Rattus norvegicus: one gene and its partners. The protein of the gene in region 3 interacts with the protein of the main gene of each other region in a pairwise test. Links are inferred from orthologs where the notes say so. Each region holds a gene or a part of one and is shown on either strand. Other genes may lie near its edges.

Region 1 (3,647 bases), on a different chromosome or scaffold from region 3:
TCAGCTTTATTAAAGGTAAAGTTGGAATAGAGACTGTAGGCTGGGCTTGAAGCAGTATTGGTTCTCCCCTGCACTGTGAATTGGCCTAGGACTAGAAGAGTCTAAGAATATAAATTTGCCACTGTCCACCCAGGGAATTAGAATGTGAGTTCCTTTCTCTTGGTAGGAAAGAGAAAAGAGGAAACGAATCCTCTGAGAGCTTTCATTCTTTCTCTGATGATGACAGAAAGGTAAGGTGTATCCTAAGTGTCTAAGGAGGACCCAGCAGTAAGGTAGAGATAAAGAAACTTAAGTGTAATATCTTAAACTTTGATATTTTATTTATATAAAATTTAAAGAAGACTGGGAAAAACTTTCATATTTTAATTGGTGAAGCTTTTGTTGGCAATAACACTATAACTTGTAGAGGGGGTCTAGTAGTGTGTTCACTGAAATGATTCTGGTATAGTTCACAAAACCTAGAGAGGGGATCAAGCACTGAGTGTTTGGAAAGAACCAAAAAACCTTAGCTCACAGAAGCAATGGCACGTTAAGCAGCAGCTGTCATTAGTCGTGTGTTTGTGTTTGCTTTGTTTCTGTTCGTCAGATAAGGATCAGTTCTAGTGAGGACTCCATTGCTTCAGCTTGCAGTGCTTTGCTCTTGCCACTCTCACTCAGAACGATAGGGACATAAGGAATTGCCTTTGAGATCCTCACCCCCTGACCCCTGCAGCCTGTAGTGAGGAGTGGAGCAGAAGAGGTATAGCAGGAAGAAACTGCTGAGCTGACCAAAGAGAAGTAACGTGCATTAATTCATTCAGCTCTTCATTCATTGAATGTCTCTTGTGTGTCATGTTAACTTCTGAGTAGTAGAGACACACAAAAGCCTTACTCAAAGGAAGTTTACAAACTACCCACAAGACCACAAGAACTATAGGACCAAAAGTCATTCATATATATATATATATAATTTCACCAGTGAGCTCTTGAGAGGATGCTGAGACCCTAATGTAGATGTACGGGCCACAGAGTTAGTGGAGCATAAAGCATTATCCGGAATCAATCAGTCTCTATGCCATTTGTGGCAGAAAGCATATGTAGTGGTGCTCCTCTAACAGGACACTTGACCAAGCTCAGGTCAGCCATGTGCTTTCTGTGGCCCATGTCACCAATGAAAACATTAATAAGACTTACAGGATCTCTGATTTGTTTTCTGAAGGTTTTATGTTTCGAGCTCTAACCTTTCTTTTGTGTGCATCTAAAGACAATTACATGGTGCATTTGTATATCCAAGAGTAAAATGATACATTTGAAAACACATTTAAGTATAATTAAAACGTGCTAGATACCGGTCTGTACTCAGGAATGGAAACAATCCTTGAAAATTAAACATATGTAAGTCCTTATTAAAAGTGTACACCCCACAGTAATCACTGCTAGACTGTTGTGCTTTAGAACATTTGATTCATACTATATTTTTCTTAATTCTTCAAAACTAGATTATAGCTTGCTTATTTTACTATGGCCTAAGAAGCTTAATGATATAGCATGTATCAGTGAAATATACCTGTCGTCTCCTTAAAGTAAACAGGTGGAGTATAGATGTAAAAGATATTTTTATTGCTTAGAGAATTGGGTTTTTGGTTGTTTTTTTTTTTTTTTTTTTGAGAATGCTGACAACTATGATACAGGTGTGTAAACTTTTATTTTTAAAGGTTCTTGATTTTTTTAAGGAAATTACCATTGTCTTCAAATAAGGAATATCATGTTCTTTTCTATATTTTAAAAGCCATCATAAAATATAGCAGGTGTGTATAGGTCACTGTGGTTGATACCTGTATGTCATGAAATCATTGCAACCAGTAACATCCACCATTCTCTTCTTGTACCACTAAGGAAATGAAGTGTAACAGAAAAGACCTTGCATAGATCCCTGTAAAGCCAAGTGTAATTTTATGCATTTTATTTGATTTTATTTTAGATGAGAGAGAGAGAGAGAGAGAGAGAGAGAGAGAGAGTATGTGTGTGTGTGTGTGTGTGTATTACAGTGAAAAATCAGAAAGCTTGTAATATAAAACTGGTATCTTAGGTATTTCTAATGCAATTCTATATTATTTTATGAGGAAATAAAACTAAAAGGGAACCATAGTTAATTGCCTCACCTAAACTGGACTGAAGCAAAGCACGGCGAGGATATCAAACCCTGGAGTCAGTAGTCAGGAGCCTATGATTCGAGTGCATCTCAGTGTTTACTAAACTGTGGTCTTTCACATCAGTTTCTTTTTGTGTTCCTGAAGAGGTGGCCATGAGGGAAGTAGCCACAGAGTTACCAAATACTGTCTGTTGTGAAAATGCCCTCGAAGCCTGTAGTGCTGTGTAAATGTGGTGCTCCCCGCTCTTGGTACATACATGTCATTCCATGCTGTGTACTCAGCAGATATGGGATACTGAATGAAATATACAAATATCTTAATATTATGAATTGAGTTCTAAAATAAGGTAAGTGTGTTTATGGTGATTTCTTTACCTTTATAACTATGTTGAAATTTGAGAAAATATGATATACTATATGTTTGAAACCTTGTTTATATCATGTATATATGAGTGTGCATATCTGTTTTTGAAAGGAATAGGTCCAGATGGTCATATCGCTTTCAATGAGCCAGGATCCAGTTTAGTATCAAGAACAAGATTAAAGACTCTAGCAATGGACACCATTTTAGCAAATGCAAAATATTTTGATGGAGATTTATCAAAAGTACCAACCATGGCTCTAACTGTTGGTGTGGGGACAGTGATGGATGCCAGGGAGGTAAGTAATGTTGTTTTGAATATTTTTCTTTGATGTTGAGTAATTATGGTGCTTAATATTTTAGATTCATCTAGTTTTCAATAAAAATGCTTAAAGGACAACATTTAATTAGAGCTGCCTCACTGGTTCTGAGGTTCAGTCCATTATCATCACAGCCGGAAGCATGGCAACATCCAGGCAGGCATGGGACTGTATGAACTGACAGCTCTACTTCTTGTTCAGAGGCAAACTGGAGCAGAATGGCTCTCACGTGGCTAGGAGGAGGGTCTCCAAGCCCACCACCACAGTGACACACCTCCTCCAACAAGGCCACACTTCCTGATAGTGCCACTCCCTGAGCCAAGCATATACAAACCACAACAGTAACTGTGGTTGTGTTGGCATTTGCGAAAGGGGTATAGAGAGAATGTCCTACATAGTTTTGGAGCCCATGGGATTGATTAATAAAAAGTGCTTTTGACTACACTTAGGAGGATTGGCTATATTGGTTTCCCATAGTTCAGTCCCCAAGGCGCACACGCTGGAAGGAGGGAGCCGATGGCTATAGACACACACAAATAAGTAAAAGTCCATTTAACATTCTTTAAAAGAAGCAGTAGTTTCAGTTGCCCTCTGAGGACTTCCTGTGAGATTTTGGCTAATGACCTAAGGGACTTTCATTCCTGCACCAAAGCTCCAAACATAATGAATCATTAGAGAAGCCCTGAATCGGCCTATAATGTGACTGCGTGCATGTGGTACACACCCACACATCTCATTTTGGTTGCTTCTGTAACAAATATTTCATTATTAGGACAGCACTGTGGGTAATAATGTTCGACAAGGAGAATTAATTTAGAAATCATTAAATTTTTGC
Region 2 (3,747 bases), on a different chromosome or scaffold from region 3:
GTCCACTGCGTCGGGGGGCCCCCACCCCCGGTCCTGGTTTCACCCCATAGAACAGACGGCTCATGAGGGGATCCCCAGAGGGTTGGGGGGCAGTTGGGGCCGAGGGTGGGGGAGACAGAGGGGCTGGTGCTGGGGGCCGGGGTTCTGCCGCTTCCTCTTCCTGCTGTCTGGAGCCTTCCGTCCCAGAGTGCTCTGGTGGGAGGGGGGAGGGCCCAGAGCAGCGGTTCTGCTGGGCTCTCAGAGGCCTGCTCTGAGCCCCCGCCTCCTCCTTCTCAGCCTCCCCTCCAGCCTCCACAGCAGAAGGTCCCGGGTGCTTCTCTGAAGATGCTGGAGGATCTGCCTTATGAATTTGCGTCTCTATGTCCCAAGGTGTCCGTTCTCGAGCTTTCCCAGAGTTTAGGGTCCATTTCCAGCCTTCAGTGGGCCTCTGCTCGGCAGTCTCCACTTCTCTAGAGGTGGTGTCTTGAACCTCCTTTGTCACTGAAGGCTGGTCTGGGGCAATCCCTGAACCCAATTTCTCTTCCTCACTCCCACACTCCTCCAAGTAGTCTTTTCTCTCTTCACTTGACTTCAGCCTCCACTCCGTGGCCTCCAGCTGTACCAAGCTCTGTTTCTGGGCTTCTCTTGAGTCAAGATTCCATTTATGGGCCTCTGTCAGACTGGTCTTCTGGTCGCCAGACTCCCCAGGGCTCAGTCTGCTTTCCAATACCTCTTTTCTCTTGGGACTGTGATCTCCAGAACCTGCTAATCTCAGATTCTCCTCTGGAGTTTCTCCAGGGCTCAGCCTCCATTTCTGAGCCTCAGCTGGTCTGGAATCCAGGTCTCTGGCCTCTGCTGGGCTCTGCCTCCAGTCTCCAGTCTCCAAAGACCTCGAACTTGACTCTTGGGTTCCTCCTATCACCAGCTTCCTATCTCTGGCCTCCCTGGGACTTAGCCTCTCTTCTCTTGACTCTCTTCCCTTAGGGCTCTGATCTCTTAAATTACCAGGACTTGATCTCCGTTCTAGAGCCTCCAGAGGCCCAGCCTTCCTATCACCAAGCACCTCGTTTCGCTGCTGCTGCTGCTGCTGCTGCCGCTGTCGCTCCTGTTGGATGAATCGGTTCTGATGTACTGGCCCAATAGCCTCCAAAAGGACAGAAGATTCATCCGGGTCTGGAGGTCCAGCCTCTGCATTCCCAGGCACAGGGCTCCCCTCTCCAGGAGGTAGGCCCAACTTGGCTCTGCGTCGTTCCAGAATTCCCCGCTTCCAGGCTGGCATCTGGGATAAGCGATCCCGTTCTGCTTTCTCACGGCCACGAACCGCTGCCTCCTCCTGCCTCCGCCGGGCTAGCAACTGTAGCTTCCAATCTGGGATAGCGGTCATGGTCGCTGGAAGTGAAGGAGAGAGTATTGGGGGACGGGAACAGGAAGGGTGAGCTTCAGAGAAGCCCAGAGACTGAGAATGGGGGTGGGGGGAGGGAGGAAGTGATGAGGGAAGGAACTAAGAAGGGCAGAGAGGGACTGTAGAGTTAAGAATGAAAATAGAGGAAGGCCGTGAGAGGAAGGAGGGCAAAAGAGTCAGGAACTGAAAAAGTGAGGAGAAAAGCCGGGTGCCAAGTTGGGGGTGGGGATAATGGGAGAGGAAGAGTCGAGATTCCGGGCAGAGGCAGAGCCAGATTGGGGTTTGTGGGCACCAGACGGTCCCTGAGATATGAAAAGGGGAGGTAAGGAAAAGCAGGAGAGCGAGGAGCCGGAGGAGCCGGGGCCGAGAAGTGAGAGGGTTCAGTCGAGACTGCTTCCCCGGTACCCAGGGGAGATAAATGGGAAGAGAGAAGCAGCAGGCGAGGGGCGAAGAGGTCGGACGAGATGTGAGGAGGTGAGGCTAGATGAGGAGGACAGAGGTCCAGGGGAGAAGGGGAGACGGGGAAACGGGCAAGGGCGCCGGCGCCTCTGCGCGCGGGGCCTCGGCAGGTCCCGGCTGCCTTCCCAGCGGCGCTCGGCCCCGCCCCTCAGCCCGGCCCCTACCCCACTTGCCTATCCCGCCCCCGAGGCGGGTCAGGGGAAATACCCTCCTCGGGGACTTTTGGTACCCGAGCAAGTGTGGCAGCCTATGCATTCCCAGAACCCTGGCGTCCACCCGCGTCCAGTCCCTACAATCTCGCCGGCCTCTCCACCAGATGCGCCCCCAGAACACGGGCGCGACGAGGACCCGCATCGCGCCTCTGATGTCCCCCAACCAGGGACCCGGCTCTCAGGGGACCTTGACCCAGTGGGACGTGCACCCGAGAGGACTGAACGGACAATCTGTGCACAAAGGGGAGGCACTCCAAGGGAGATTTAGAGCCACGAGGCACTTCCCTTAAAGTGGGAGCCCTACAGTCAACTTACACGCCTTGGGGTCCCTAGGAGGAGGTGCAGTGGAGTCGGGCGTCGGGAGAGAGGAAGAGGAGGAGAGAGGCGAAGGGAGATCCGGAGGGAGGGAGGGAAACAGAGGAGGAGGGAAGGGGGAACCCAGGAGGAGGGACGGAGACGCAGACAGGGGGCCAGCCGGGGGCGGCGACCGCTTTGTCTACGGACAATGGGGCGAAGGAAGGGGGCGCAGGGAGGAGCCCGGCGAAGGGCGGGGCTTCGCTGCCCTCCTTCCCGCGTGGGACTCTGGTGGGACTTCTCTCCCGCCGTAGCAATCCCCTTTTTCTCGGTTGTCTGTCTCCTGAGACCTTCACCCGCTTCCTTCCTTGCAGCCCTAGAGAAGCGGGGTGTCCAGACCCCAGTGCTCCAATAGGCCGACCCGGGGCGGCGGCCCGTGACTCAGGCCCCCTAAGGGACATGGAGAGGAAGCGGCAGCTGCTTGGAGTCGGACCCGCCCTTCCCATCTCTAGCTGCTCCTCCCCACGCCTTTTCTTTCCCTGGCTAGTCTTTGTTACCGTGGCAGAGAAGGCGGCTGCCAGGCCCTGGGGTCTGAGGCGAATAGCTTTGGGAGTTCGCTCCCCTCCCAGAGAGTTATTCTGTCTCCCACGGGTTCCCTGATCTATACGCGGAGAGACTTTCATATTTGGAGGGAACAGGACTGGAGGACTGAGAGATGGGGCGGGTCCATGGGGTGTGGCCCCAGCCCAGGGATCCGTCCTAGAGTGCTTTGGCTATCGCCACAAAAACTTGGCCTAATCTTCCTCCCCCCCTCCCCCCAATTGGTCCTGCGGCTTGAGAGTCATGGACAGACAACTGGGTGTCATATGTATAAAATTTTAATTTTTCTGCAGCGCATGTCCTTTGGGAGAGGAGGGAGCCCCGAGTCAACCCGAGTTAAAAAAAAAAACAAAACAAAACAAAACAAAAAAACGGGAGATATCGCTGTAGAAGACAGCACCGCAGAGCTGATGAGGTGGAAAAACTAAGGCAGTGGTGGGGAGGAACCACAGCCGCAGTACAAAAGAGCCATTACCTACAAACTTTCAGATAGGCCCTGACATAGCTCCTCGAGGTGGAAACACGGAAGGGAATCCCTGAGGTGCAGAGCCAATAACAAGGGGATGGAGTGCTAAGGCTGACCCTGTGTGTGTGTGGAGGTCATGCTCTGAAGAGAAAAGGAGGCTCTTGAGTTTATTTCTTGGTTGGTTGGTGAGAAGCAGACTCTGAAGGCCAGTGGTGGAAACTGAATTTAGAGTCCAGGATCAGGACCCTAGAACTGAGTTCTCAAGCAAGAGAAGGGACAGCCCCTTCAAAGCATGACTTCCAACCTCTGGTCTGAAGCAGATGCAGCCTGGATGC
Region 3 (3,747 bases):
GTTCAAGACCATCCTGGATTGCATAGTGAAACTATTTCTGAATAAACAAATGGTCAGCAAAATGGCTCTAGAGCAGTCAAGAAAGATTTTACTTGAATCCAGCCAAACCCACTCATTTATGTATTAGACATGGCTGTTTTTGAGATGCAATGACTGAGGTGTTGTGATTTAGCTTGTGTAAATTAACAAAGCTAAAAATACTTATTACTGGCCCCTTTCAGAAAGTTTGCTAAAATCTGACTTGAATTCAACTGTTCCAAGGGCCCCTTATACCTCTTTTAACCTGGATAAGTCTTTCAAAGGTATAAAGTATACAATATAACCTTAGACAAAATTAAGGCTAAAGATCAATTTACTGAGTATATCCAAAGCAGTGTGACTGACACACTGGCACAAGTATTTCTCTCTGGAAAATCCTCCCAAAGCTGATATGATACATTGTATGTTTAAGTTTAGTCTACACAAGATCACTGAGAAGTTTCTTCATCCTGTTTTCAAGCAAGAGGTGTCAAGATCGCACTCACTCAGAGACAGGATGGAGCTAAATGATAGGAATGACAGACACCAAGGGGAAATGCTCTGCTTAGAAGTTTTCATTACACCCTTGCCAAGGCTATCCTGATGCAATGCCTCTCTGCAGGCTGGAGACCTGGACCCTTACCAGGAGCTCAGCTCGTGCCTGCTCCCCCTGTGCCCTCCGTCTCTTCTTCAAGTCTTTCACTCTTCTTAGGTGGTCCAGCCGATTCTGGATTTGCTCCTGAAGAAAGTAAACAGTCAGCCAATTCAGAATTTTGCAGATCTCAGCATCAAAATAGCTACTCTGCTTATGACACAGGAACCCAAACTACAGATGCCAAGGCCGGGCTGGACTCTGTCCTCAGACCACAGTGCCATTCCTGGGAAGAGCCTAAAGCACAGGGTCCAGCACAGCTGTTTTAGAAATTTGTTAAACTCAAGCCACCTACCAGTTCCTAGAAGCATTCTGCACAGGTTATGAGACATCTGGGTAAAGAGGCTCAAAAGGTAAGCTATTCCTCAGACGAATACAGAAAAAAATGATTTATTTTCCTCATGCACAGAACTGGTAAGCATTACTAAATTACAACTTTATTTCCAGTGAGTGAAATGATACAGCTTTGTAAACGTGACTGACATTTGGATGAACTCACATTTAAACAAATCTAACTGTTGGTACATATCCCTGCAGTCCTCAAAACAGACTCATTATCACTTGAGAGTTACTTTATATGTAACATTTTCGAATTACTGTGTAGCTGTGCCAGTGTTTATTCAACAAAGGCCTCTTCAGGTCCTGTGAGTTCACTTCCTCTTCATTAAGTTATCTCCCGAGTCTGAGAGTGGCTAAATGATTTACTCAAGCAGTAAAGAGCTCTGTTCATTTCCATTAGGTTCTAAAACAGGTTACAGGGAAGCGCTGGGGGCTTAGATTAAGTGATAGGCATCGGTCGATGTGAATTCGGCCAGCCAACAGGGGCTGTCTGGTTTGATATCCTGGGCCAGAGCAAGTTCGAGGTGTTCAAGGCCTATGGAAGTGGACATGGCTCCATGTGCATCTCCTTTGTCAAGGGAGGGTCTCCTCGCGCCGTCCCAGCCGCGGCACGCGTTGAGGCAGTTAACAGGGGGCGCTCGGAGAAGGGGTGGGGGTGGGGACGCCTCTGGCCTCGCCAGCTACAGGTTCTCCTTCCGAGTCTGAGCGCGGAGGCTCCGCAGCCGACAGGGAGGAAATGACGGCGGTGGGCCCCACGTCCGGCTCGCCATTTTCTCGGCGGCAAACCAGGAAGCCCCCGGCTCTCCTCTTTGTCCGCCGGCCCGGCCCTACCTTGAAGCCTTCCACAGCCTCCTCCAGCGGCAGCACGCTGTGGCCACGGTGCTCGCGCGAGCGGTCGCACACCACGCAGATGGGCATCTGGTCCTGCTCGCAGTACAGCTTCAGAGGCTCGCGGTGCTTCTCGCACACGCCCATCTCGCCGTCCGGCCCCGACGGCCGCTCGGTGCGCAGTTGCTTCACCAGCTGGGTCACGTTGGCCAGGTGCCGGTTGGGCCGCATGTGGCGCTGCGGGAAGGTCTCCCGGCACTGCGGGCACGACACGTTAGTCTCCGCGGCACCCCAGCAGCGGGCCAGGCACGCGCAACAGATGTTGTGGCCGCAGTCGAGCATCATGGGTTCCACAAAGTATTGAAGACACACGGGGCAGGTGGTCTCCTGCTGCAGGGACTCGGCCACGCTCCCTGAGGCCATGGCGCGAGCCGGCTGGGCCGCAGGGCATGAGCCCGGAGCCGAGCTCTGGCAGAGCCCGGCGCTCTCTCTCGGCTTCTCAGATCCGGAGCGGGGTGGGGCCTCCGGCGCGGGGATCCTAGACGCGTGCGGAGCTCTGGGGCGGCCAGACCCGTCCCCGCACAGCTGCACCTCACGGACAGCGCGGGAAGGCCTGGGCCCCAGGGCCCGGCTGAGAGCCGAGCAGAGGGGTGTCGGGAACCCGGCGCTGCAGGATGGCTCACCGGGCAACGTGGCCGCGTCGGAAGGGATCCCAGGGCCGCGCAGACTCCTAAGGGCCGAGCGGAAGAGGTGGGCCGGGGGCGGGGCCTGGCTTCCCGCGCCGCTCTCCTCCGGGGCGGGAAGGCGGGTTTCCTCGGCGCAGTCCTGGAGCCCCGGTACCCAGCCCGGGAGTCGGTGGTGGTTGCCCTTTGCAGTGGGAGCAGGGTGTCCCTGGCAGTGGGGTCGGGATACTCTAAGCTTTGGTGGATCCGTAGTCCTTTGCCGGGTGTCTTCTTAGTGCCTAGGCCTTGGCTCCTTTAAATGCAAGGTGGCTTTGCATAAGTGCCGGAAAACTGGGCTGAGAGACCAGCTAAGCCCCTCCCAGTGTGTGAAGCACTCTGAAACACACCCAACTCCAGGCGATAATAATCGCCAGAAAAAGGTTTTATTATCAGCAACTTTTCTCAGTGGCAGAAATGGAGAAGCCCACTTCTACTTCCACCCTAAAGTAAGTTTGTTTATCGTTCCGAGCCTCATTTTCTTCTCGCGTGAAATGGGGGATTGATAGAATCCAGACCAGAGTGCTCACCAGACCCTGATACCTACTGAAGTCCTTCCCCTTCTCTCTAGCCTTCCGGCTACTAGGGAGCTGCCTCACCGAGAGCCCGCTTGTGAGTCCCTAACTTCTTAACAGGCTCCTCTGGTGCCCAGTTTCTCACTTCCTCAAGTGAAGTAGCCAGACCAGACATATCAAAGAGCTACTTGATGACACACTTCTTCCCTACCACCTGCTGAGGAAGGAGCCTGGCCGCGGGTTCCTATGAGACCCTAGAAGAAACGACCCTGATTCTGCCACGTGGGCTTCATTCTCGAACACTCCCCAGCCCCCACCTCCCCCTGGCGCCTGTGGCGCGGCCAGAAATTCTGATTGTCCACCGCCTATCTGCCTATGGCGCTAATAAAGTTCTTACTCCCAGCAGTCTGTTTCAGTGTCTTCCTTGAGCCCCCATACACTGTTGCTTTCAGGAATTTTCCCCATCCGTGAGTTAAACTTTTTAAAACACAGCTTGAGCCATAAAGATTTTTATCCATTAGTTTAAATGAAGTGTCCAGTGCATTGAACGGCATTGAGTAGAACCTAAAACTTGCTTGTTTCTGCCCAATTGAGAATTCTGCGACGACCCGAGGAGGTCTTGTAGGCTAGCTTCTTATCACAGAATAGATTTGCAGTTCTGTGCCCTGTCACTTCT

The links.
Region 1: the proteins of Trim27 (region 3) and Gnpda2 interact in binary tests that used the Homo sapiens proteins (3 or more experiments, as listed by UniProt). The link is inferred for Rattus norvegicus from reciprocal best matches to the Homo sapiens genes TRIM27 and GNPDA2.
Region 2: the proteins of Trim27 (region 3) and Ppp1r18 interact in binary tests that used the Homo sapiens proteins (3 or more experiments, as listed by UniProt). The two-hybrid records come from large-scale screens. The link is inferred for Rattus norvegicus from reciprocal best matches to the Homo sapiens genes TRIM27 and PPP1R18.

The regions. Positions count from the first base shown.
Region 1 is NC_086032.1:38,884,632-38,888,278, forward strand, and holds part of Gnpda2 (glucosamine-6-phosphate isomerase 2), read left to right. Parts: exon of another isoform or gene 1-15; intron 16-166; exon of another isoform or gene 167-2,606; coding exon 2,607-2,791; exon of another isoform or gene 2,792-3,256; intron 3,257-3,647. UniProt on the Homo sapiens protein: Catalyzes the reversible conversion of alpha-D-glucosamine 6-phosphate (GlcN-6P) into beta-D-fructose 6-phosphate (Fru-6P) and ammonium ion, a regulatory reaction step in de novo uridine diphosphate-N-acetyl-alpha-D-glucosamine (UDP-GlcNAc) biosynthesis via hexosamine pathway.
Region 2 is NC_086038.1:2,889,918-2,893,664, forward strand, and holds the start of Ppp1r18 (phostensin), read right to left. Parts: upstream 2,413-3,747; 5' UTR 2,368-2,412; intron 1,369-2,367; 5' UTR 1,364-1,368; coding exon 1-1,363.
Region 3 is NC_086035.1:48,243,798-48,247,544, forward strand, and holds the start of Trim27 (zinc finger protein RFP), read right to left. Parts: upstream 2,261-3,747; coding exon 1,841-2,260; intron 1,309-1,840; exon of another isoform or gene 1,170-1,308; intron 1,104-1,169; exon of another isoform or gene 966-1,103; intron 758-965; coding exon 662-757; intron 1-661. Other genes in the region: uncharacterized protein LOC134482717, read left to right, coding at 2,259-2,587, 3,192-3,228. UniProt on the Homo sapiens protein: E3 ubiquitin-protein ligase that mediates ubiquitination of various substrates and thereby plays a role in diffent processes including proliferation, innate immunity, apoptosis, immune response or autophagy.